Linked DNA regions of Diceros bicornis minor. The protein of the gene in region 2 purifies or fractionates together with the protein of the main gene of each other region. This does not show direct contact. Links are inferred from orthologs where the notes say so. Each region holds a gene or a part of one and is shown on either strand. Other genes may lie near its edges.

Region 1 (7,685 bases), on a different chromosome or scaffold from region 2:
TGGAGGAGTTGGGGCTCACCAGCTGGTTGATCTGGGAGAAGGAGGGGTTCTGGATGTGCAGGCGGTCTGTGGCGATCCGGTTCAGGGCTGTGTTGTCCAGCACCACCTCGGGGGACAGAAGAGGGTGACAGATTTATGGAGACAGAAAGAACAGCAGCTCTGCCTGAGCCTGGGTTCTGAAGCTTAATTTCCCTTGAGCCTCACAGCCAGAAAGACCCATCCAAAAGGGACTTGCACAGGACTGGGGCCCAAGAGGGCTGAAAGTGTTGAAAGAGACAGGGGGTGGGGGTGGGGAATGGTAGAATCCAGGACTCACCACACAGTCTGCGTTCTGGGTCAGCCTCTTGAGTGTGAGCAGCGAGTTGTAGGGCTGGACCACCACGTCGCTCATCTCGTCCTGGTTGGGAAACACTGAGTACGTCTGCACCAGCTTCTTGGGGTACCTAGTGGGGGTTGGGAGAAAAGGGTCAGGGCAACAGACTGGTGGCTTGGTGAACACGGGGCTCCCAGCAACTGTCTGGAAGCAGCTGATTTTGGATGGGGAAACTGGTATGGGGCCCCGGGGAGCAGTAGAGAAGGGAGACCTGACTTTTGGAAGTCTGTAACCCCAAAGGGGGAAGGGCAGAAAGACATCTTAGGATCTAGAGTTCCAACACCAAACCCCATACTCCCTGAACCTTCATCTCTTCATCTAGGGCCCAGATTCGAGGCTCCAGTTTCAACCCCTGGGAGTGTGATCGGGTTCTCAGTCACTCTATCTTGACTTTCCTCACTACAGAAGGGCCCTTTCCTGCTCCAGTGAATAGCAAGGTGTATCTGGAGGGCCTCCAAGTTACTTGGGAAACCAAGTCCTCCTAGCCCCTCAAAACACAGACTTACCTGTCATTCAGCCGTTCTAAGAGGTAGGAGCCCAGGCCAGAGCCTGTCCCCCCAGCGATGGAGTGACACAGCACGAAGCCCTACATGGGGAAGGGGCAGTCAGTGTCTAGGTATCTAGTGTCAGGATTTCAAACTGGACCCATCCCATAATTTCTTGGACTCCTATCTTGCCAAGTTCTCTCCTCCACTTCCCTCCCAACATATACAGCTGGGGAGACTCTGCCTTGTTTCCAGCAAGGCTTCTGTCCAGTGCAAAGCATACATGGGTGGGTCTTATTCCTAAAAGTGGCTTCTAAAGGGTGTTGCTGAGGCTTCCCTATGTCGGCTCCCACTACCATTCCTGAGACACACCTCCAGACTGTCACTGCCATCTGCCTCCCGGTCTATGATGTCAAAAATGTCCTCGTGGATCTTCTCTCCCTGTACAGATATGGGGAAGGTCAGAGCAAGACAGGACCATGGGACAAAGATTCTGACTCTCGATTCTCCTTATAGCACCTAAAAGTCTTTTTTTAGAGCACAGTGGCCCTGCTTTTTATTTGCATTGAGAAGCAGTATAGCACAGTGGTTATGGGCAGGCACTCTACATCCAGAAGGCCTGGGTTCATGTTTAGCCGAGGTGACTCTGAGCACGTTGTGATCTCTCTATACCTCAGTTCCCTCATCTGTATATGAAGGTAATAATACAGGTCCACTCTAAAATCCTTAAGGCCAGTTATGTTTCAGAATTCAAATTTTTCAGACTCTATAAAGGTAACATGGTACATATAATGTATGTTAAGTAAAATGCCAGTGGGAGTCTGAGGTGTGCTAATCAAATACATTAATATTTCTGTGATGAAAGGTATGAGAAATGACAGTAAATTGGATAGAAACTATAAAATAGCCTGTCTCCATTGAGATTGGGTTTTGTTGCTAAATGAGTTATAAATTGTCTTTTGGTTTCAGAGTTTTTTGGATTCTGGAAAGGTAGATAAGAGACTGTGGACCTGTACTACCTACCTCTTGAGTTGCTGGGAGGTTTAAATAAGTTAATATACGTAAAGCTCTTAGTACGGCCTGGCACACAGCACTAGCTAGTGGAGTCTCTTAACAATTTTACATAGTTGACTTAGAAAACAGAACTCCCTTAAGCCATCTCTCTCTCCCTCCAGCACTCATACATCCTTGATCTGGTTTCATCTCTCTCTGGGAAGTCATAGGGCCTGTCCCAACACAGGAAGGGTGTTGTGGGTCCTGCCAGGGAATAGCGAATGACCTGGGAGAATCCGCTGGCCCAGTTGTTGCCAGCCCCTCCTCCATGCTCTGACAGGTAGATGTTCTCTGGGTTGTAGAGCTTGGCATAGGGGGAGTTGAGGATGGAGTGGATCACCCGGGGCTCCAGGTCCAGCAGCACGGCCCTGGGGATGTAGTGCTCATCGTCTGCCTGTCAAGGGGAGTCCAGGAGGGGGCCCAATCAGCTAAGGCCAAGGCCCCCGTCCTCCCAGCTCTGCCTCCTCCCTGCCCTCCCTCCTCAAGCCAGCCGCCCTGGCTTCTCTGCCCAGCAGGTTTCCCAGCACCAGGCCGCTGCCTTCCCTTTAGGACCCCTGGCCAAGTCGCTGGGGGCACCTGGTAGAAAAAGACGTCCTTGCGGTCAGTGCCCTCGGTGGCAAACTCCTCCACGATGCCTTCGGGGCTGATACCATGCTCGGCGCACAGCTGTTTCCAGAACTCGAACCCAACTGGGCGGGGTGGGGGAGAGATGGACGGGGGAGAAAGAGGATACCTGGGTCTGGGCAGGTTCCAACTAGGAGCTTGGGGACTGAGCGCCTGGGTATAGAGACAGGAAGTCAAGCCTCAGGAGTCTCCCGTGTCAGAGGAAAGGGCTGTATGCCAGGACCGGGCAGGGGAGGGCCCCTCGGGGTTGGGCAACTGGACACTGGGTCAGGCATGTCCTGCCTTTCGGAGAACTACGATTCTGGGAAGGGCAGATGGAGTCCAGGATCCCACAGCGAGATCCCATAGAATCTGAGGAACCTGGCTAGTGGAGGGGCCGGAGGTTTGCTCACTCTGATTGCCGCACTGGCCCAACTGTAGGGTGATGATTTCCCTCGGCATCGCTCCTCAGGCACCGGCGTTGCAGCCTCTCCCGCCAGCAAAGCCGCCGCTAGCCAGCCCGCTCGCCGCACGACGCAGGCGCCAAACAACTCGCCCCGCCCACGAACTTTCTCCGCTCCAATGAGAACTGAGTTCTGGCGATGGCACTTCCTTATTCATTTGGCTTCAGTCATGCAGACTGCGCTTGCGCGGCTCCTGATCGGGCTGGGCGCAGGGGCGTGCTTTGACGCAGTGTTCTCTGGATGGACTCTCGTTCGAGTGTGTGCGCAGGCGCGTTGTGAAGGGAAGCAGCCTCCCCCGCCGAATCGCGCATCTGCGCAGTTGGTGTTATTGTGACTGTGGGGCCGCGGCCCCGGATGTTGTGGCTGCCGGGGGGCGATGGCGGAGGCAGAGGGGGTGGACGCGGCCCCAGGCCCAAGTTTGGGCCCGACGTTCACGGGCCGCCGCGCTATGTCAGGCTCCTGGGAGCGGGACCAGCAGGTTGAGGCGGCGCAGCGGGCCCTGGTGGAGGTGCTGGGGCCTTACGAGCCTCTGCTGAGCCGGGTGCAGGCAGCCCTGGTGTGGGAGCGGCCCGCCAGGAGCGCCCTGTGGTGCCTGGGGCTGAACGCGGCTTTCTGGTGAGAGAACTGGACCCTTGGAAACCCTCCGAGGCGGGAATTCGTCAGGTTTCTCTAGGGCTCTACCTCTCGCCTCCTCTGTTTTCTTCGCTGCGCTGGCTCCTTCCTGTACCTGCCTAATTTTGCCCCATCTCCTTCCACTTCTTCCCGCCTGCAGGCTTCGGCACCGCAGTTCTCCCCAGGTCTTCAGTTGTCTTCTCCGCTTTACTGCTCCCGCACCCTCGCCCCGCACATCAGGCAAGAGCTTCTGGTTACGTCTTGAGCCGCTCGCAGTGCGCGAGGGCGCCTCATTTTAGCCAGGGAAAGCTGTGTGCCTTGAAGGCCATAGCCTCCCTTCTCTTGTCTGCTCAAATGTGGTGAGGACTGTCTCCAGATTGTAGTAGTTATTATTGGGGTACACGCGTCAGGCGGTAGGTCTTGAAAAGGTATCCGGAGGTGTGATAGGAAAACCAGCTTGAACGATCTGAATTCGCGCGTTAGATCTTTCTTTCTCCCACTCTAGGAGGTTTGTGAAGTCTGAGCGTCACTAAGCGCGTCCAAAGCTGCAACTTGGAAGAAAATTATAAGCTTTTGAAGAACAGTTAGGAAATAGTGATTGTGCGATTTCACCCGTTTCAAAGCCTCTATGATTGCAACTCCTCCATGTTGCAAGGAATTAGCGAGGCATCCAGCCGCAGTTTATAGGCAAGGAAATTGAGGGTGTCTAATAGTGTGTAAGTTTTCCTGAGCTGGAAAAGTGCGGCTATAAATATGCTTTCAGAATCTGGATGTGTCATGCTCTGTGAAGATGAACTCCTGCTTCTCTCAGTTGTCATTACCTGGAGTGGACTTAGGTCTTCATAGGATCTGCCAGGCATAGTTTGGATTTATTCATAATTAGGGAAGTATTATTGATCTAATTCCAAGGGAGCTGAAGTATAGGGAGCTTCTACAACTGGATGAAATAAGGCTATTCTGGATAAGCCTGAAACAGCACAAAGTATGAGTTCGCAAAAAAAAAAAAAATTGTTTTTTGCTAAAAATAGCTTTCCTCTTGAAATTCTTGGTTTTAAAATCAAAACGTTTATTATTCTTTGTCTGAAAGAAGATTTTTAGTGAGCTGGAGCAAACCCAATAATTCCAAGTTCATTGGCAGGAAGACACAATGTTTAGCTGTTAAATTAATCCTCTCACAGTTTGAAGGAGACTCAGGTGAAAGGTGTCACAGCCATCTCTGACTTCCATAGTCTTTAACAAACTTGACGATAAACTTTTTCTACAGCATTCTTCATTTATTTTTGGTATTGCTTCTTCTTTGATCCCCAGGTACCTACTTCCGGTCTGTTGCTTTCTGTCAGAAACCCTTAACTGTAGCACCTCGTTCAGGAGTGTTTTCCAGAATGACCTTTTCTTCCTTTCCTCCCACCTCCCCATCCCAACCCCTAACCCTGGACCATCCAGTCAAAACTTCCTTTCCTACATTGGGATTGTACTCCTAGGAAAAAAGTGGGTCCTGAATAAACCAGTTTGTATCAAGATGTGAGTGGCTGATATATAAAATTCTTTTAAATGAATCCTGATAAGCCAAAGTTTTATTAATGCAAATGGATCAGTAGCATGTATGTTGTTATTTTTGAGGAGGGGACTTTCCACATGCCCCTTGCCTGAGAGAGAGTTTTGAAGTGGAATGTGGGGTTGAGGTCTGCACACAAGGAGCAGCTCTGCATAAGACACATCTTTAAATGTTACAGTTAGCTTTAATTTGCTGGCCCCCAACAGTGTTTACTTAAGTTTACTAATATGCTATGTTTAGAATCTCACTCAGATCTCCTTTTCCTACTCTGGGTCTCTGGAAGCATTGTTGTGATTGATCTTTATCTCTGGGATTTTCTGGTAGCTTGCGTGCTGTGTATCCAGAGCACAGTTACTCTTGTTATGTTCCCATCACACTTGAAATAGGTGGGGAGAGATACAGCAAAATGAAGGGTGCATCTCTTGAGACTGAAAGAGCAACTGGGTATGCCATTTATGGAGAGGACTTACACCTGTGAAGGGCACAGAATGACTGGAAGTGTTAAGTAAGGCCCCAGAGGCTAGGGTGGTTTGGCGTTGGAGTTCATGGGATTGTTTGTTTTAGGAAATGGGCTTCTTTGGGAGGTAGTTTGAAGTTCAAAATGAAAGTTAGACTTCACATTCCAGTAGCATCATATTGAATATGGGTGTTGACATTTCGCTTAGGAATGTCAAAGAGTGACTGTTTTGTTCTCAGACATTTTAAATGTTTAGGAAACATAGAAGGATCATTGGCTCAGGTCTGAGAGAAATCAAATCTGAAATATTTTATTTTTCTTTCATTATTTGTTTTGAATAATGATAAATCATTAACTGAGGTGTTTTATATATTTTGAGGTATTAGAAGATTGGATAGGAGTACAAAAAAATCATCAGAATTCAGGTAGGTAGCTCTTAACTTTCCATGTTCTGTATTCTTAGTCAACTGTACCTGTGAATGTGCCCTCTTACATCTTAAAAAAACAACAACATAAAAGACAAAGATAGATGTAGATGCCTTGCCACTGTAGTATTTCAAGGTTTTCACTCTTTTTTTTCAGGTTCCAGAGGAATTATGGGTATCATATCAGAGTTCTTCCAACCTATGTTGCTTCTATTCACTGATATGTTCTTGTCTCTAGGATAATAACAGAAATGTCAGGCGTTTCTCTCCAATAGCTTATATTTTCATTAGCCTCAACACCACCTATAAATGAGTGATTTGGGGGAAGAACAGCTGAGTCAGTGAGAGTGTATCCTCACAGGATCAGAAACGAACAGGTTCAGGTAACTTTTTGGTTTGACTCATACCTAGGAGATAGGGGAGGACAAAGGAGCCCTGGAAATGTGTGTGAACCCCAAGCCCTTCTATGAAGCGCATATGGTTCAAGGAGGGCTAGATGACTGCAAAGCTCCTTTCCAGTTTTTAACATTCTGTGATTCTAGATGATCTTTAAATTATTCTCTGTTGGGATCTGCTTTTACAGTCGCTAGTCTGAGTTAACCATACTATATTCTAGGGGATGTTATGGAATCTGTTGTTTTCACAATTGGAAAAAATAAGGTGTTTCCCCTCCCATCTCCGCAAAAATCTCCCCAAATCAATAAAATGACCTGAGAAATGATTAAAGGTATATAAAAATTCTTATTTGAAAGTTTAGAATTTGAATGAAAATGAAAAAGGAACAGGAAAAGGAAGGGAGGGCCCATTTAAGTAGAGACTTAGTGTTCTGTGAAAAAAAATCTACACATCAAATTTCAGATGAAATCTATTGAGCACACGTCTCTGATCATTGTTCTTGTTGCTTTTGGTAGCCAAGAAGATTCCCAAGGATGCCTTGGCTTGCTTTTTTTTGCCTCTCTTTTGCCAACAGTTTTTTATCTGTCCTAATTGTAAGGTTGGGTGCTTTTTGTCCATTAACATAAGGTAGGTTATTAGCAGCTAGCTGGTTTCATTTCTGGTTTTGTGCAAGCAACAACTGTCACTGCGTGAGATAGGTTGGGTTAATTTTTTTAATTCTAATTTACCAGTGACTGGCTGATTAACCAGACAGCCACAGTGCTGTACAATAATGGGCTTTCTGTCCCTATAGGATGGGGTGCTTTGTTCTGAAGTGCCACTGAGACAAGCTTACTCTGCAATAACAAAGGAACCCAGAAATAGTATCTTCTTTGAAAACAGTCATGTGATCTTTATTTTGTTTGTGATTATAGCATAAACTTTATGATTATAGCAAACTCTAATTTACCTGTGCTAACAGTGAGGATCCATAGTATAGTTAACCTCAAAAAAATTGTTTAGTTTTGGAATTTCTCATGATTTTTAGGGACACCAGATTGTTTTTCCAAGGAATATTTTATTTAGACTGATAATTAATTAGATTTTAGCCCATAATAAAGGGGATGGGTGGCTTACAAAAGGACAAAAAAGCCAAAAAATAGTAAATCAGTGGATATATAAAATTTCACTCTCATTAGTAATAAAAAATTCTAATGTAAATGGCAATGAGTTACTAATTTCTGCTTATTAGGTTTTTTTAAATGATAGTATTTAATTCTGGG
Region 2 (7,450 bases):
CTCTGACTGTCTTTTTTTAAAAATTGTTTTGGCTAGGTTATTTGCATTCCAATATAAATTTTTCAATTAGCCTGTCAATTTGCACACACTCAAAATAAACCTGTTGGAGTTTTGTGGAGATTAAGTTGAATGCATAGATTACTCTGGAAAAAATTGACATTCTAGCAATATTGTTTTCCATCTCGTTAATATGGTACAGCTCTCTATTTATTTAGGTCTTTAACTCCTCTCAGCAATGTGTTACAGTTTTCAAAGTATGGTTATTGTGCATATTTCATTAAATTAACTGTAAGTATTTCATGCTTTTGGGTGCTATTGAAAATGTAACTGTAATTTTTATTTCATTTTCCAATTGTTTATTGCTAGCATACAGAAATACTACTTTATTTTTGTATATTGACTTTGCATAGGCCTTGCTAAATTTACTTGTTGGTTCTAGGAGCTTTTTTCTGTATTCCTTATGATTTTCTAGTACACAATCATATGTCTGCAAATAGAGTTTTACTTCTTCTTTTGCATTCTATATGCTTTTTATTTTTTGTCTTATTGTATTGGCTAGGGCTTCCAGAAGAATGTTGAATAGTAGTAATGAGACTGGGCATCTTTGTGTTGTTCTCCATCTTAGGAGAAAAGCATTCAGTCTTTTACAATTAAGTATGGTGCTCCTTGTGGCCTTTCACAGATGTTCTTGAACCTGTTGAAGATGTTTCTTCCCTTTTTTTCCTAGTGTGCTGAGTTACTAATCATGAACGGATGCTGAATTTTTTCAAATGCTTTTGCTTTACCTATTGATATAATGATATGGCTATTCTCCTTTATTTTGTTAATATAGTGAATTATGTTAATTGATTTTCGAATGTTAAACCTACCTTGCATTTCTGGAATAAACTTTATTTGGTCATGATGGATCATAATTCTTTTATGTTGCTGCATTTAATTTGCATATATATATAATTTTTGTCTCTATGTATGAGAAATATGAGTCTATAGTTATTTCTTGTAAGGTCTTTGTCTGGTTTTAGCATCAGGGTAATAGTGTCCTTAAAAACAATAAGTTTAGGATATATTCCCTCCTCTTCTGTTTTTGGAAAAAATTTGTATTGGATTGGTATTATTTTTTCCTTATGTGTTTGATAGACTTCAATAGTGAAGCCACCTGATCCTGGGGTTTTCTTTGTGGGAAAGTTTTCTTAATTACAAATTCAATTTCTGTAGTACATATAGGACTATTCATGTTATCCATTTCTTCTTGTGTCAGTTTCAATATTTGTGTCTTCAAGATATTTGTCCATTTAAGTTACCAAATTAATCGGCATAAAGTTGTTCAAACTATTCCCTTATTATCTTTTTAAATATCTTTTGGTTCTGTACTGATGGCTTGCCTCTCTTTCAATCCTCATACTGGTATTTTGTGTTTTCTCTTTCTTCTTGATAAGTCTAGCAAGAGGTTTATCAATTTTATTAATCATTTCAAAGAATCAGATTCTGGTTTCATTAATTTTTCTCTGCTGTTGATCTGTTTTCATTTTCATTGTTCTCTACCCTAGTTTTTACTTTTTGTTTAATTTGCTCTTCTTTTTCTGGCTTCCTTATTGATATTGGACCTTTCTTTTTTTTCCATAATATAGACATTTAAACCTATATGTTTGTCTAGAAGCACTGCTTTGATGAATTCCATAAATTTTTATATGTTGCATTTTACTTATCATCATTTGAATATTTTCTAATTTATTTGCGATTTGATTTTTTCTTTGATCTATGAGTTGTTTAGAAGTAAAGTTGTTTAAATTTCAGATGTTTGGGGCTTTTCTAGATGCTTTATTGTTTTCTATTTAATTGTACTGTGATCAGAGAATATACTCTGTAAGATTTATTTGCTTAAAATCTATTGAGACTTGTTCTACGGCCCAGCATGTGGTCTATCTTTGTAAATATTCCATGTATATTTGAAAAGAATGTTTATCCTGCAGAGGTTGGGTATAGTGTTCTATAAACGTCAATTAAAATAGTTGATAAAGTTCAGATCTAGCACGTCTTTACTGATTTTTTTTTCTTATCTGGATGTTCTATCAATTACTGAGAGAATTCTGCTAAAGTCTCCAACAATGATTATGGATGTGACTTTTTCTCCTTCAGCTCTGACATTTATTCTTCATATACTTTAAATGTTTTTTTTTAAAGATTTTATTTATTTATTTTTTCCCCCCAAAGCCCCAGTAGATAGTTGTATGTCGTAGTTGCACATCATTCTAGTTGCTGTATGTGGGATGCAGCCTCAGAATGGCTGGAGAAGCGGTGCGTCGGTGTGCGCCCAGGATCCGAACCCGGGACGCCAGCAGCGGAGCGCGCGCACTTAACCGCTAAGCCACAGGGCCGGCCCTATTCTTCATATATTTTAAACTTCTGTTATTGGTCACATATATATTGATATGGCTTCTGGTTTTATTGACCATTTTTTTGTTGTGAAATATCCCTCTTTGTCTCTAGAAATATACCTAGTCTTGATGTTTACTTTGGGAAAGCTGTATATGTTTATATAATTCATATATTAGTGAGGATTCCAACATTTGGCTTCTATTGCTTGTAGACTGTATTATAAAGAACTAGGAAACAGAATGCACATAGACACAGAGGTAGGAACAAGAATGTCAGAACTGTGTAAGGTCTGATGAGGCTGTGGTACCAGCAGGGAGGAAGGAGTGAAGGTTGACATTTGGCCCTTTATGCTGTGTTCTGGCTCTTGACTATATAGCATAATGGTTGAGAGCACAGTCTTTGTAATATTCTGGTTCTGGATTTAACTCCTGTGCATACCATTTCTTAACTGTGTGACCTTGGGAAAGATACTTAACCTCTGTTTCTTCACATGTAAAGTGGGGACATAGTACATACACGTTTTTAGAAAGATGAAATTATATATATATATATATATATATATATATATATATATGTAGTATACCTGTACACATTATATACATATCTATGTGCTTAGCGAATTATGTGCTTAATAAATAATATCTATGTGTTATTTGTTATTATATTACATAATATGTATATATTATATGGTATGCAGTATTATATCATATATTGTTTCATATATTCTAGTCTCTATTTTCCTGCTGGCTTCAATTTTTCAGAGATTTAGTTCATTGTTTTTTCCTTATTTGCCCTGATTCTCCCTGCACCCTCTCTCTTAACTTCTTTTCTTATTTCTGAACTTTTTGGGCCCCATCCTTGCTGAAATTGGATTTAATAACCTCAAGAACTATGAACTATACAATGAAGGAAGTTGCTGCTCGCTATCTTTCTCCTTTTGAGGCTCCCCATCAATCTTTAAAACTTAGCCAGAACTTCAATTTCTGCTCTGCAAAAATTGCACTTACCAGTTTTCTAGTTATTTGCAATACGTGTGCAAATAACTGGGGCTTATATACCTAGATCAGAAACACATTCTGAGTATATACTTGTGATGAAAGAATAATAACACTGTTTTCAGAAGAAAAGCCGTATATTTATTGTAAGTATTCTTAGCAACCATTGCCAGTAAAACTTAAAAAAAAGTCTCTGGTAGAACGGGCATTTGAAAATTCAGTTCAACTCCTTTTTCCACTCTGAGAAGCATCCCCTTCAAAAGAATTCCCAACCAAACGGTGTTTGATGTTCCCGACCCGGCAGCATGATTCAGAAGAAAAATCATAGGTTTTGAAGTCGGATAGTTTAGATATTTACGCTTTCTGTTATTGCCTAGCTTTTCTGAGCACGTCCCCTGGTTTGTAAATTGCCTGGCGTATTATCTGCTCTCCATGGTTTCCTCTTCAGGGAAGTCTTTCCTAAACCCACATCTACGTTCATTCCCCTTTTGTATGTCTCGTACCTTTCCTTTGAAGCCATTGTCAGTTTCACTTTTCATTTAAGTACGTAACTATTTATTAACGTCCGCCTCCTATACTGGGCTGTAAGGCCCCGGAGGCCGGGACCACAAGCGTTCACTGTACCCCGGTATTCCCAGGCTAAAGAAATCACGGTGCACCCAGAGTCTAGCATGGAGCCTGGCATACAGTTGGCAGTTAGCGAACAAATGAATTTCAAAGAAGCAGCTGTCTGCGGCCCAAGTGCCACCGCTAGGGCAAGGAGGGAGCCGCCCAAGGCCGCAGTTCCCGCCCTGGCGCGGGGAGAAGGACCCCCGCGGAGGCCTAGCACCGCCCCTGGCCCTACCCCGCCAACCCGAGGCCCCGCTTCGGGCAGCGCCCCTCCTCGTGACGCCACTCGGGGGCGGGACTTCCGGCCGCCGAAGTTTAACAGTCCAGGCGGGAGCCGGAAGCCCAGCGCCGGAGCGGGCCGCGCCGTGGCCCGCGGTGTCCCGCTGCCGAGAGGTGAGGTTCCGGAGGGCCTGGGGTCAGCGGGCCGCCGCCCGCCGTGTCCTTGCACACTCCTGAGCCCCGTCCGCCCTCCGGCCACCTCGGGGAGCTGGCCAGAGGTCCCGGGGCTCCGCGCCCCCCGCCCAGTGCGGCGCCCCGGACGGTTGCTGGGCGGAGGCGCGGCCGCGGGATTGGCGCGGAAGTGCCTGGAGCCGCGGGCCGGGGTCGCGCGCCGCCTCCTGCGAGGCCTCGGGCCCGGCCTGAGGGGCGGCCCGGTCCGCGGGGGTAGGTCGGCGGCGGCTCTGGGGGGGCCGCCTCCGGAGAGTGTGCCGCTTCGCCGCAGTCCGCTCCCTTTTTGTAAACCTCTCCAGTAGGACTCGGATGCATTTTATAAGGTCGCCCCAGTCGCGCAGTTCTCCTGCAAGTAAAGTGCAGATTTGGTGAAGGAAAGTTGGAGAACTTTTGTTTGTTTGAGCTGAGTGTTGTGGCGGAATTTGTTCTTGTGGCCGCTGTCCCCGGATCCGGGGCGGGCCGTCTGGGACCGCCCTGTGTCCTGACAGCTCCTTTCGACGGGGGCCTCTTGGAGAGCTGATGTCATGCCCTTCCCTTAAATGCGCTCGAGTCTCAGAAGACCGAGGTGGGTGGGCAGACGGTCCCCTTTGCCGCTCCACCTTCAGAGAAGGAAACAGACATGAAGTGACTCGGCCAGAGTCACTGTCACCTAACTCTGGGGCAGATCGTGTGAACCCACTTGTTCTGAGCCCTGGCTTTAAGTGATCCTTCTGCGACACCACACCGCTCAGCAGGACTGGTGTAAGATTATGGCAGAGCCATCTTTCAGTCGTGTTTGCTGGGTTCAGAGATCGCCTTTCCAGCACTTCATTGTTCCTTGAGTAGGAACCAAAAGGGCACGTGTTAACACAGGCCAGGCACCAGATCCAAACACTTTGCTTTTCAACAGATGACTGTACCGGCTTTTAGTAGCACCCTGTTTATCTGATAAATGATGTGTAATGAATCACAAAAGTGACTTTTCTAGTTAACAAAAGTTTTAGCCTTTTTTTAAGCACATAAAAAAGTTTTTTTTGTCTCTGGAGAATCAAAGGGCCCTATAATTTATACCTTGAATTTGTCCTCTGAAATAGGGTATATTGGACGTGAATGTGATGTTTTGTTGATGACTTGGGAACCTGTCTGTGACATCACTAATGCTGTGCTATTCTCTTGCACTCTTTACACCAGGAAGGTGTGTAGGGTATAGTTCTCCGCCCCCTGCCCTTGCTCTTTCTCCCGTGTGTTTTTGAGCATTTTTTCTGACCTGTCATGCGTTACTCCTTGCTGCTTTTTAAAGACACTTTAGTCTGCCTGGAGCAGCTTCCTTGCCTTCTCTCCTTTCACAAACCTTCTGTCTTGCCTTGGTTTGTGAAATCACTGTGTCAGAGTTATGTGTTTGAACTATATACTGTGAATAAGTAATATGAGCCAGGGTGTTGTAGACCGAGTATTGGTATAGGGACTTAGCGACATCTCCTGTGGCTATATTTGCTAATTTTGAAGTTACTTGGAAGAAGTAGAGTGACTGGATTCTGACCTGCAGGGGTGCTACAGTTTATCATACGTTTCTGAAAAGATTAGGAAAGGTTACCTATCCAACAGTTACTTGTTGAGTACCTACTGTGTGCCAGGAATGTTTCAAGACGGGTGGTGTACAAGACAAAATCTCTGTCCTCGGCATCTTTGTTTTGTTCCAAGTCAGAGGAGTCATACATTATTATGAGAACAAATAATTGAAGATAGCAGGAAGTGCCATGAAAAAAATGAAACAGGGTAATGGGATATAAGGCAGCTGGTGTGGGGCTGCTCTAGTCCTGGTGGTTGGGAAAGGCCATTCTGAAGGAGGAGACAAGAGCTGAGACTGGAATGATGTGAAGGAGATGAGCGTGGGAAATCTGGGGAAAGAGCATTCCAGGCCAGGGGGCAGCAAATGGAAAGACATCAGGCAAGAAAGAAGGCCATTGAGTCTGGTAGGCCCCCGGAGAAGAGAGACAGGAGAGTTACACCGGGGCCGGGTCATGTAGAGCACGCTAAGGAGGTTGGATTTCATTATAATTGTGCTGAGGAGAGCCATTGGAAGGGTCAACTAAGAGATTGTGATCCGGTTTTCCTTTTAGAATTTTAGAAAGAAAGATCACTGCAGTTACTTGGTGGTGAGCATCCTCTCTGGGACAAAAGTAGACAAGCAGAGCCACTTGTTTTAGATTAGATGCTTCATTTTAAGTTTTTTTTTTGCCTATCCTTAATTTTTTTTAAAATATATTGTTTTAAACCACTTGTAGGTGCAGCCATGCAGGAAAACCTCAGATTTGCTTCATCGGGAGATGATGTTAAAATATGGGATGCTTCATCTATGACGTTGGTGGATAAATTCAACCCACACACATCACCACATGGAATCAGCTCAATATGTTGGAGCAGCAATAGTATCCTTTTTTTTTTTTTAAGCAACTGCTTTCTGTTAGGTTAAACAAACAGTTTCTATGAAATTTTTGCATGTGACACATGAGAAATATATTTTGCATCACTGTGAAAGATAAATAGATAAAGTGAAATAGGAGTTTAATAAACAGTACATCATATGAATGCACACTGATATTCTGTTGATTTCATTTTTAAAAATTTTAGTTGCAACCCACTCTATTGTAAAACATTGCTATAAAAAATATATATATATATAAGCTACTAGATCTAGACCATAGAATTAGTCTTGTTATCAACAGTTTGTTATTGAATCAAGCGGAATAAGGTAGGTAATGGTGGGAAAAATTCTGAAAGGTTTTGAATGGGTTTTGGCATCTACATTTGGATATTTGTGGATCTGGTCTGGAAATTAAAGACAGAACTCAAAGGCAGAAGCAGAGGTAGGGGGAAGAGATAAAAGTTAGAAGTGTCCAACATCCCCATTTTACTGATGTACTCTCTGTATTTCTCTTCCTTTCTATGATGAAAATAGTCTCATCTCCCAAATAAAGTGTCTAGATTGAGTTTTCCTAAGCTTTTTGTGTTTCTTAATTACACCCTCCCTGACTTAGTAA
Region 3 (7,726 bases), on a different chromosome or scaffold from region 2:
AAAAGTGCCTTTGTTCTCTACTAAAGTGACAAAGCTGGCAAGTGACATTAAGCTTCCTGACTCCACATCCAGTCTCATAACTCCTCAATCTAATCCCAAAACCTGAGAAGCTTCTTACCACTTGGCCTTCGGAAAAGAACAGTCAAGTTGTCAGGGTCCTGTGGGGTGGCCTCCTGGCCCATTTCATCACTGTCAGACTCTTCAGCCATGGCCTCTTCTCCTTCCTCATGCTGCCAGACCCCTTGCCCTGGCTCCTCAGTCTCAGCATCACTGCCCACCAGGCCAGAGTGAGAAGCTGCCTCTTCCAAGCCGTTACTGGGCAGGGCGATGACCTGGGCACTCATCAGGGCTTCCATCTCTTCAAAGAAGGGGCAGGTCTCAGGTGGGTGGCCACCCTTGACTTTCCGATAGCTCTTCTGGAGACCTTTGAACTTGGTCCGACACTGTTCCAGGGTCCGGAGGAAGCCATACTCTCGGAGCCGCTCAGCCACAGCCCCATATACTTGGCTGTTGCGGTGACAGTTTCGAAGAGCCTCATAAAACTCAGTCTGACTGAGAATCGCGAGGAGAGTTCTGGTCTCTTCATAGCCCCAGTGCACACCTGCCACCTTCTCATCCTCAAAGCCCCAGTGATCCTGCTCCACCCAGCTTCTTCTCTCTCTCCTGGATGGTAACGGATCAGCATGCATTCGTCTGTCTCCTGTGTGACTGCCTCTTGGGAGTTCCTTCTCCTTGGAGCCCAAATCTGGGATCCATGGCTCTCCTTGCTCCAACCTGGAGACCACACCGGATTTAGGAAATGGAAATCCTGCTTGCAGGAAGCAAACAAAGGATATCATAGTTTGGATGGATCATAAAAAACATCTCTGAGTTCAGACCTGCCTTTTTTATCCAAGAAGCTTATAAGAAAGTGTCTAAGGAAATGTTTTCAGAAAGTTCAATGAGTTGGAGAAAGTGGGGAAAATACATGAAACTTCAAAAAATGAGAAATATTTTATTTTCCAGAGCAAAGTGACAAGAGAGGAAAAGGTTCTGTGGTGTGTTCAGAGCAGATACTTTTGTTCCAAGTTGCTCCCTAGCCCTCCTGACCACTTGTAGGAAGGTTCTGGCACTGCTGGGAACAGTCACCTTCTGTCTCTATAGTTCTCCACTTGGGACTAGAGAATTAAACTCTGAGTGATTCCAAAGGGGAGGGGAGCGGAGGGGAGACTCTTCAACTCATTTGTTGCCTTCACACTCAGTAACCAAGTTCTAAAAGTTTTTCCCTTAGTATGTCCTTTACTCCTACTGCCACCATCCAAGTCTAGACTCCTTATCCTCTCACACCTGGATAACTGCAGCAGTTACTATCCGACCTCACTCCAAGTTCTTGCTTCCTCAGGTAACATGCTATACTGCTGAACGTTAACCTGAGTGCCTACCATGCACTGTCCATTCCTACCAGACTCTCCTCTCCAGAACACAGGACACATTTATTCACCACTCTCTGCCTTTCCTTTAACTCCCTTTCTCCTATCCAAATTTAATCCACCCTTCAAGAAGCTGTATTTGCCAATGCCCCCATGAAGCCTTCCCTACAGCCCTCCCTCATCTCCCACTCCGCCAATCCCCTACTGTACTCACACAATTGAGTAACAAATCATGGTTTGGTGGTGTTTTGGTACAGTTCGGTTAGGCACATATTTATGTTTGCTGTTACGTTCTCAATTATATTGTAAACTCTTTAAGGATAGGCACCTTTTCTTATTGCAGAGTACCCTACAAGGTGTTCAGCACATGGTGTTCAAAAACTGATTCATTCTGCAAGTCTGTGTATGGGGTTGAGAGATTGCATCTGGATGACTAAACAGAGACCATTACCAAACTGGCTGAGAAAGCTAGTGTCTTAGATGATAAGATCAGAATTCAAAACAACCCCAACAAGTTAAAGAAATGATCAAAGAAAACATACAAAATGGAGTTTAACAGAGTACAAAGAAGAAAAACAAGTTCTATAAAATCAAGTATAAGAATAAGCACTAGGCACAAAGACACTGGGGAAGGCTGTAAGCATCCTGGGAGTTACCAAGTGAACAGTAGTCATTAAATAATTTTTTTGAGCTATACTGAAAGAAAATGTAGTGAAACTGAAATAAAATTCTTACTCTGCCTGTACCTACCAGACCCTCACTGGAATACATAATTTAGTTCTCCACAGTTAATATATTTGGAGAACTGAAAGGTTCCAAGGAAGAGTAACAAAAACTTAGTAGGTCTGAAGAGTGGAGCTTCTAGGGGAAAGCTTAAAGAAACAAATATAGTTTAATTTGGAGAAGGAAAATGACTGAAAGAAAGATGTGCCTTCAAGTACAGAAAAGAATTTTTATCTAGAAAATACTGACCTAGTATCATTACCAACAGGAAGTAAAATAGTTCCAAGTTCTGATAAAAACTGGGAAGCCATCCTCTTGCAGACTTATCAAGAGGAAATATAAGAATACTTACTGCAGCAGAGGGCTAAACTACATGCCTTCAGGAGGTCCCCAACAACCACATACTCTACAATTTCCACTCATTCCTGCAATCCCTTTCCCACTCCTATGCCCAACCCTACTTCCCAACTTAGAATGGCATCCTATCTTCCCATATGAATCTACTCCTCACCGCTCCTTTGAAAAGGTCTGAGCTTCTCCTTTGGATTCATCTGCTCCTGTGGTCCCAGGTCTGGGCTTCTTGCCCTCTCTTTCTTGGGTACACCCCTGGGCTGGGGTTCCACTGACTCCTGCCGAACAATTAATAACTCTTGTGATGATTTCAGGGGTGTCATCTTCTCCAAGCGCACTTCCTGCCCCTTCACAGAGACTGTGACCTAGAAACAACCCCCGTTAATTGTCACTGCAAGGTCATAATGAGGGGCATTCCCAGAGAAGATTATTTAATACTCCAAAAGAGATCATCCTTTGAGACATGGCTAGGGTTGGGGGGGTGGTTAATAGTGAACAAAGGTCTGTCTTATTCCATTACTGTTACTTAGAGCAGCTGGAACTCCAGAAGGAAAAGATAAAAATAGTAAACCCAACTACAGGCTGAAAAAAATTCCCCTTCCCTATTAAACTATGAAAGTACATATAACTCATTGTGACAGGGTGTAGCAAAGGTACACCCAGATAAGCTCTGTCTGAACAAGTTACCTGTTCCAGGACCAGAAGCATCACCAAAGGAGATTGTGCCCCTCTTTAAACCTGTCTATACCTTAATTTGGCCCTTTATCCTTGCCCCTTCCCAGTCACACACTTGTGAATTCCCTCTCCCGTCTCACCGAACGTCCAGGTCTTCCAGGCTGTCTTTCTAAATCTTCCACCAGAGCCACTGCCTCCTCTCCACTCTCTGGACATTGCTCCTGTACCCAATTCTGGATCTCCCCAGGTAAGACGGTCAGGAACTGCTCTAGCACCAACAATTCTACAATCTGCTCCTTGGTGCGCACCTCCGGCCTTAGCCACCGGCAGCAAAGTTCCCAGAGTTGGCTGAAAGCCTCCCGGGGCCCAGCTACCTCCAGGTAATGAAATCTCCTGAAGCGCTGTCGGAAGGTCTCCGAGTTAGTGCCATTCCCTCTCAGAGTGGGTTTGGCCATCGTTCACAGCAGAAACCAGCTTCCCTCCGCTTAAGGGTCAGGGTTCCAGGGTTTGCACCTATCTTCCCATGTCCTTGGAGAATCACCTGCAGATGAGTCTCCCTCTGTTAAGAAGAGTTTCTTCCTAGGGTAGAGAGAGATGGAACTATCAGAAGGAATATACTCATGTCTAAAGTCTTGCCAGATCTGGGCTGACTTCCCTTATGCTCTACGTGGCCACCTGAGGTAGCACCAACTTCAGGACAGCAAGGCAAAACAGCATGAAGGAGAGAGACCTTGCAAAAACTCCATTTCTGGGTGACTTTCAGGGCAGCCCCGGCAAGCAGCAGAGAATAGAAAGTACTGCCTGCTCCTCCTCCACCTCCCCCAAATCTGATCCCATTTTGCTCCCGTCACCAATGCTGCATAGTGAACCATATGGGAGACCTGGAGCTCGAAAGGATCTACAAGGAGGTCACCATCCTGCTGAAGGCAACAAAAAGCCTCTGTCCAGCGGGTCGCAGCTGATCTCCCCCAGTACCTCCGCAGTCCTTCCCGAGGCCCCTACGTCCGCCCCGGCCCCTCAGACTCCACAACTACCAATTCCCACCCCAGACGAAAATCAAGTACTGAATACTGGGTCTTTGTTTTCCCTCACAGCAGAAGTAACCGCTCGGCAAATATTCAGGAACTACTGACGGGAAACCTGGCGCATTGGGAGAAGTTGGTTTTGGCTCCCGAAGCGAGGGCCAGGTGGGCTCGGGGAGAGTCACTGAGGTCGTGGAGAGAGGAAGTCCGAGGGGGCAGTAGTAATGTGTCTCCTGAGGACGAGCTTGGGTGCTGGCCAGGGCTCCGAGCGCTGCGGGGTTCGCGAGCGCGGAGCTCAGCTCAAGGAACGGCGCGTGCGAGGTTCCGGCCTCTTTGTCTTCGCTCCCTCCGGCCAGGGCACTCTCGGAGCCATCGTGCAGTCCCTCCAGAGGCCTCCGACGGGGCTAAAGCGCCCTGAGAGCACCCTCCGGCTCACCCCTGGGAGCGTCTCCCTCTCGGGGTGTCCCTCAACCCGCTCACATCTCTGCCCCGGGGCCAGCCTCACCAACTCGGGGTCCGGCCCCAGCTCGGGCTCTACCAGCCTCCCAGTCCGGCTCCCAAACCGGAAGTCCGAGCGAGCGACTCGGGCGCTGACGGCGCATGCGCAAGGTCAGACACAGCGACTCCTCTCGTGTGGAGAGCCGGCGGCAGCGAGCGAGTGGGCCTAGCCGAGCGCCGCACACTTCCGGGACCCGGCGCGCCGACCTCTTCCCCGCTTCCCCTCCGCACCTCCAGCAGCAATTGTCTTGGCGGGTAGATTCGGGGGGAACCGCCCGTCCCAGGGGCTTGTGCGCGGGTCGGGAAGGGGCACTCGCCTCCGAGGTCTCCTGGAGAGGTGCTGGAGGAGGGGGCGGCGGATATAGTGACTCGAGGTCCGCCGTCGGAATGATCCACGAACTGCTCTTGGCTCTGAGCGGGTACCCAGGGTCCATTTTCACCTGGAACAAGCGTAATGGCCTCCAGGTACTGTCCGGCTCAGAGCGCGGGAACTAGCTAGTGCAGAATGGGTGGACCTGCCAATGCTTGGGGAGGAGTCTGAGGGACCGAGGGGGCGGGGCTTGCGGGGGCTGAGGCATTCGGGGGGCGTGTCCCTGGGCAGGTAACTGTAGGGCAGTGCCTGAGGAGCCTACGGGTGTTGTAGACACCCTGAGAAGGCTGGGCCTAGGCTGGGGAACGGAGGGCAGACCTCGACGGGCCATGCCTTCCGGGAGAAGGAGGGAGCCCGGGACCCGGCCTGAGGTGGAGGTGTCTGAAAGAGAGTGCCTGGGGAACTGGACGTAAAATGAGGGAGGCAGCTTCTCCCATTTTCACGTTTGCACTCTGTTTTAAACTGAGTTTTGAAAGCTAGTCCACATACATAGCGCTTAACACACAATAAAGGTTCAGCAAATTTCGTTGAATGAAAGAATAAATGAGAGTGTTTCCCTCATTACTCCTTTTCCAGGAAATTTCTGCACTAGGAGAATTTGGAAGGGGGCCTTCGTGTAACTAGGAATGTATGAAGAGGAAGGGCTATGTACCATATGCATTATCTCATTTAATCTTCACAATCACCTATCTCCATTTCACAGATTAACTCCCAGTGTCCGTGTAGCTAGTAATTTGCGAGCTTGATCTTGAACCCAGGTCTGTCTGGCTCCAGTATCTGAACTACTCTTTTCTACTTCTGCTTTCAGCAATGTTATCTAATTCTCAATAATTTAATAACTTAGGTATTGTTAGCCCCAGTTTACAAATGAGCAAACTGAAGCTCAGAGAACTTTATGGTAGCTAGTCCTAGTAATGGCAAGATTTGAATCTAGCTCTGTCTGATCACAAAATCATACCTTTTCCTATGAGAATTGGCAGTATAGGCTGTGGAAGAGCAGAAAAATTACATTCTTAGTCTATAAAATCTACCAATCAAATAGATTCCTCTGGTTATTGTTTATTTTCCCCCGCAAAACTAGCATAGTGCCAAGCAGATAGGAGGAAAATGTTCAGGAAGTATTTGTGGGTGCTTGAGTGTCTGAAGTAAAAGGAAATATCAGAGTATAGGAAAGATAGCTGCTTTCCTTTCTTATAAAAAGGTCTCAATCAGATATTTTCCTCCTCAAGATCTCAGCTTTAAAGTCACCTCCTCAGAAAAGCTTTCTCTGACCACCTCTTTGAGTATCCTCCCCATATTGCCATTATTCTCTATCACAGAAACTTGTTTGTTTCCCTTATAGGACTTAGCACAATTCATATTATTTATTGTTGTTACTTGTTTATAGTCTTTTTCTCACATAGATTGCTCACGGGGGCAAAGACCACAGTGGTCTTTACTGATCTACCCAGAGCACCCAGCACAATTTCTGCCACGTAGTAGGTGTTCAGATATTTGTAGAAGAAAAGAAGATCACCAAAACCAGCAAATGTTACATACTTTCTGCAGAGAAGTATTTTTCACATTCGAATAAAGGGAAAAGTTGTCAGGAATGCCCAATGTTGATCAAAATCATCTTATTGTAATACTGAATATGTATACACATTAAGCTAAGTATAAAATCAAACATATAGCTCTTAAATAACTATAAAAAGAAATATTTTTACAAAGTAAACAGAACTACCCAATCGATAACTTCAAATTAACATTAACCTAATGCAGAGTTTCTCAACCTTGGCAGTGTTGACATTTTGGACTGGATAATTAATTCTTTGTTGTGGGGGGGGGTGGGCCTGTGCGTTGTAGGATGTTCCGCAGCATCTGTGGTCTCTACTCACCAGATGCCAGTAGTACTCCCCAAGTTGTGGCAACCCAAAAATATCTCCAGACATTACTGAATGACCCTTGGGGGCAGAATTGCCCCTGATTGAGAACCACTGATCTGATTAACATATATTATTGTTTTGCTGAAACTAAATCGCCAACAATTGAGTTTAATAAAGACCTTGCTACAGATCTGGTTCTGTATTTTCTATTTTTTTTTTCCCTTTTTCTCCCCAAAGCCCCAGTAGATAGTTGTATGTCATAGCTGCACATCCTTCCAGTTGCTGTATGTGGGACGCCGCCTCAGCATGGCTGGACAAGCGGAGCGTCAGTGCGCGCCTGGGATCCGCACCCAGGCCCCCAGTAGCAGAGCGCGCACGCTTAACTGCTAAGCCACGGGCCGGCCCCTGTATTTTCTATTTTGACTTCAGTAACACTAATGTAGAGAGTGCTTGTTAATATAAGTAGCTTGTACCAAATGGTATCAGTAACATTAAAGTATTGTTTGCTGTTTCAGAATAACTAGACCTTGAACTTTTCTAAAACTCGGCCAACAAGCACTGCTCAAAATGCCAATTTTAGTGGGAGTATCACTTGTTAACTGGGTAGAGATGTCCTAATAATAAAAAATTGCTTACGTGTATTAAGCACTTGCTGTGTGCTTGGCACAAGTGATTTACATGTATTAGCTTATTTAATCTTCACAATGATTGTCTCCACTTTATCGGTATGAAAACTGAGGCACAGAGAGGTATGGTAACTTGCCTAAGATTTCAAACAAGTAAGAGGCAACTCAGGGATTCAAACCCAGGCAG

What was found. Proteins that work in one complex are often made in the same cells at the same time.
Region 1: the proteins of NEDD1 (region 2) and TUBG1 purify together in Homo sapiens (affinity purification with mass spectrometry; 5 studies listed by BioGRID and IntAct, with this or other methods). This does not show direct contact. The link is inferred for Diceros bicornis minor from reciprocal best matches to the Homo sapiens genes NEDD1 and TUBG1.
Region 3: the proteins of NEDD1 (region 2) and TUBGCP4 purify together in Homo sapiens (affinity purification with mass spectrometry; 3 studies listed by BioGRID and IntAct, with this or other methods). This does not show direct contact. The link is inferred for Diceros bicornis minor from reciprocal best matches to the Homo sapiens genes NEDD1 and TUBGCP4.

The regions. Positions count from the first base shown.
Region 1 is NC_080757.1:41,681,557-41,689,241, reverse strand, and holds the start of TUBG1 (tubulin gamma-1 chain), read right to left. Parts: upstream 3,031-7,685; 5' UTR 2,977-3,030; coding exon 2,928-2,976; intron 2,601-2,927; coding exon 2,488-2,600; intron 2,306-2,487; coding exon 2,138-2,305; intron 1,300-2,137; coding exon 1,231-1,299; intron 960-1,230; coding exon 880-959; intron 444-879; coding exon 317-443; intron 107-316; coding exon 20-106; intron 1-19. Other genes in the region: RETREG3 (reticulophagy regulator 3), read left to right, coding at 3,355-3,593. UniProt on the Homo sapiens protein: Tubulin is the major constituent of microtubules, protein filaments consisting of alpha- and beta-tubulin heterodimers. Gamma-tubulin is a key component of the gamma-tubulin ring complex (gTuRC) which mediates microtubule nucleation.
Region 2 is NC_080764.1:25,698,802-25,706,251, reverse strand, and holds the start of NEDD1 (protein NEDD1), read left to right. Parts: upstream 1-4,319; 5' UTR 4,320-4,373; intron 4,374-4,726; exon of another isoform or gene 4,727-5,604; intron 5,605-6,694; 5' UTR 6,695-6,702; coding exon 6,703-6,838; intron 6,839-7,450. UniProt on the Homo sapiens protein: Required for mitosis progression. Promotes the nucleation of microtubules from the spindle.
Region 3 is NC_080744.1:40,804,572-40,812,297, forward strand, and holds the start of TUBGCP4 (gamma-tubulin complex component 4), read left to right. Parts: upstream 1-4,696; 5' UTR 4,697-4,780; coding exon 4,781-5,143; intron 5,144-7,726. Other genes in the region: ZSCAN29 (zinc finger and SCAN domain-containing protein 29), read right to left, coding at 119-808, 2,644-2,848, 3,299-3,613. UniProt on the Homo sapiens protein: Component of the gamma-tubulin ring complex (gTuRC) which mediates microtubule nucleation.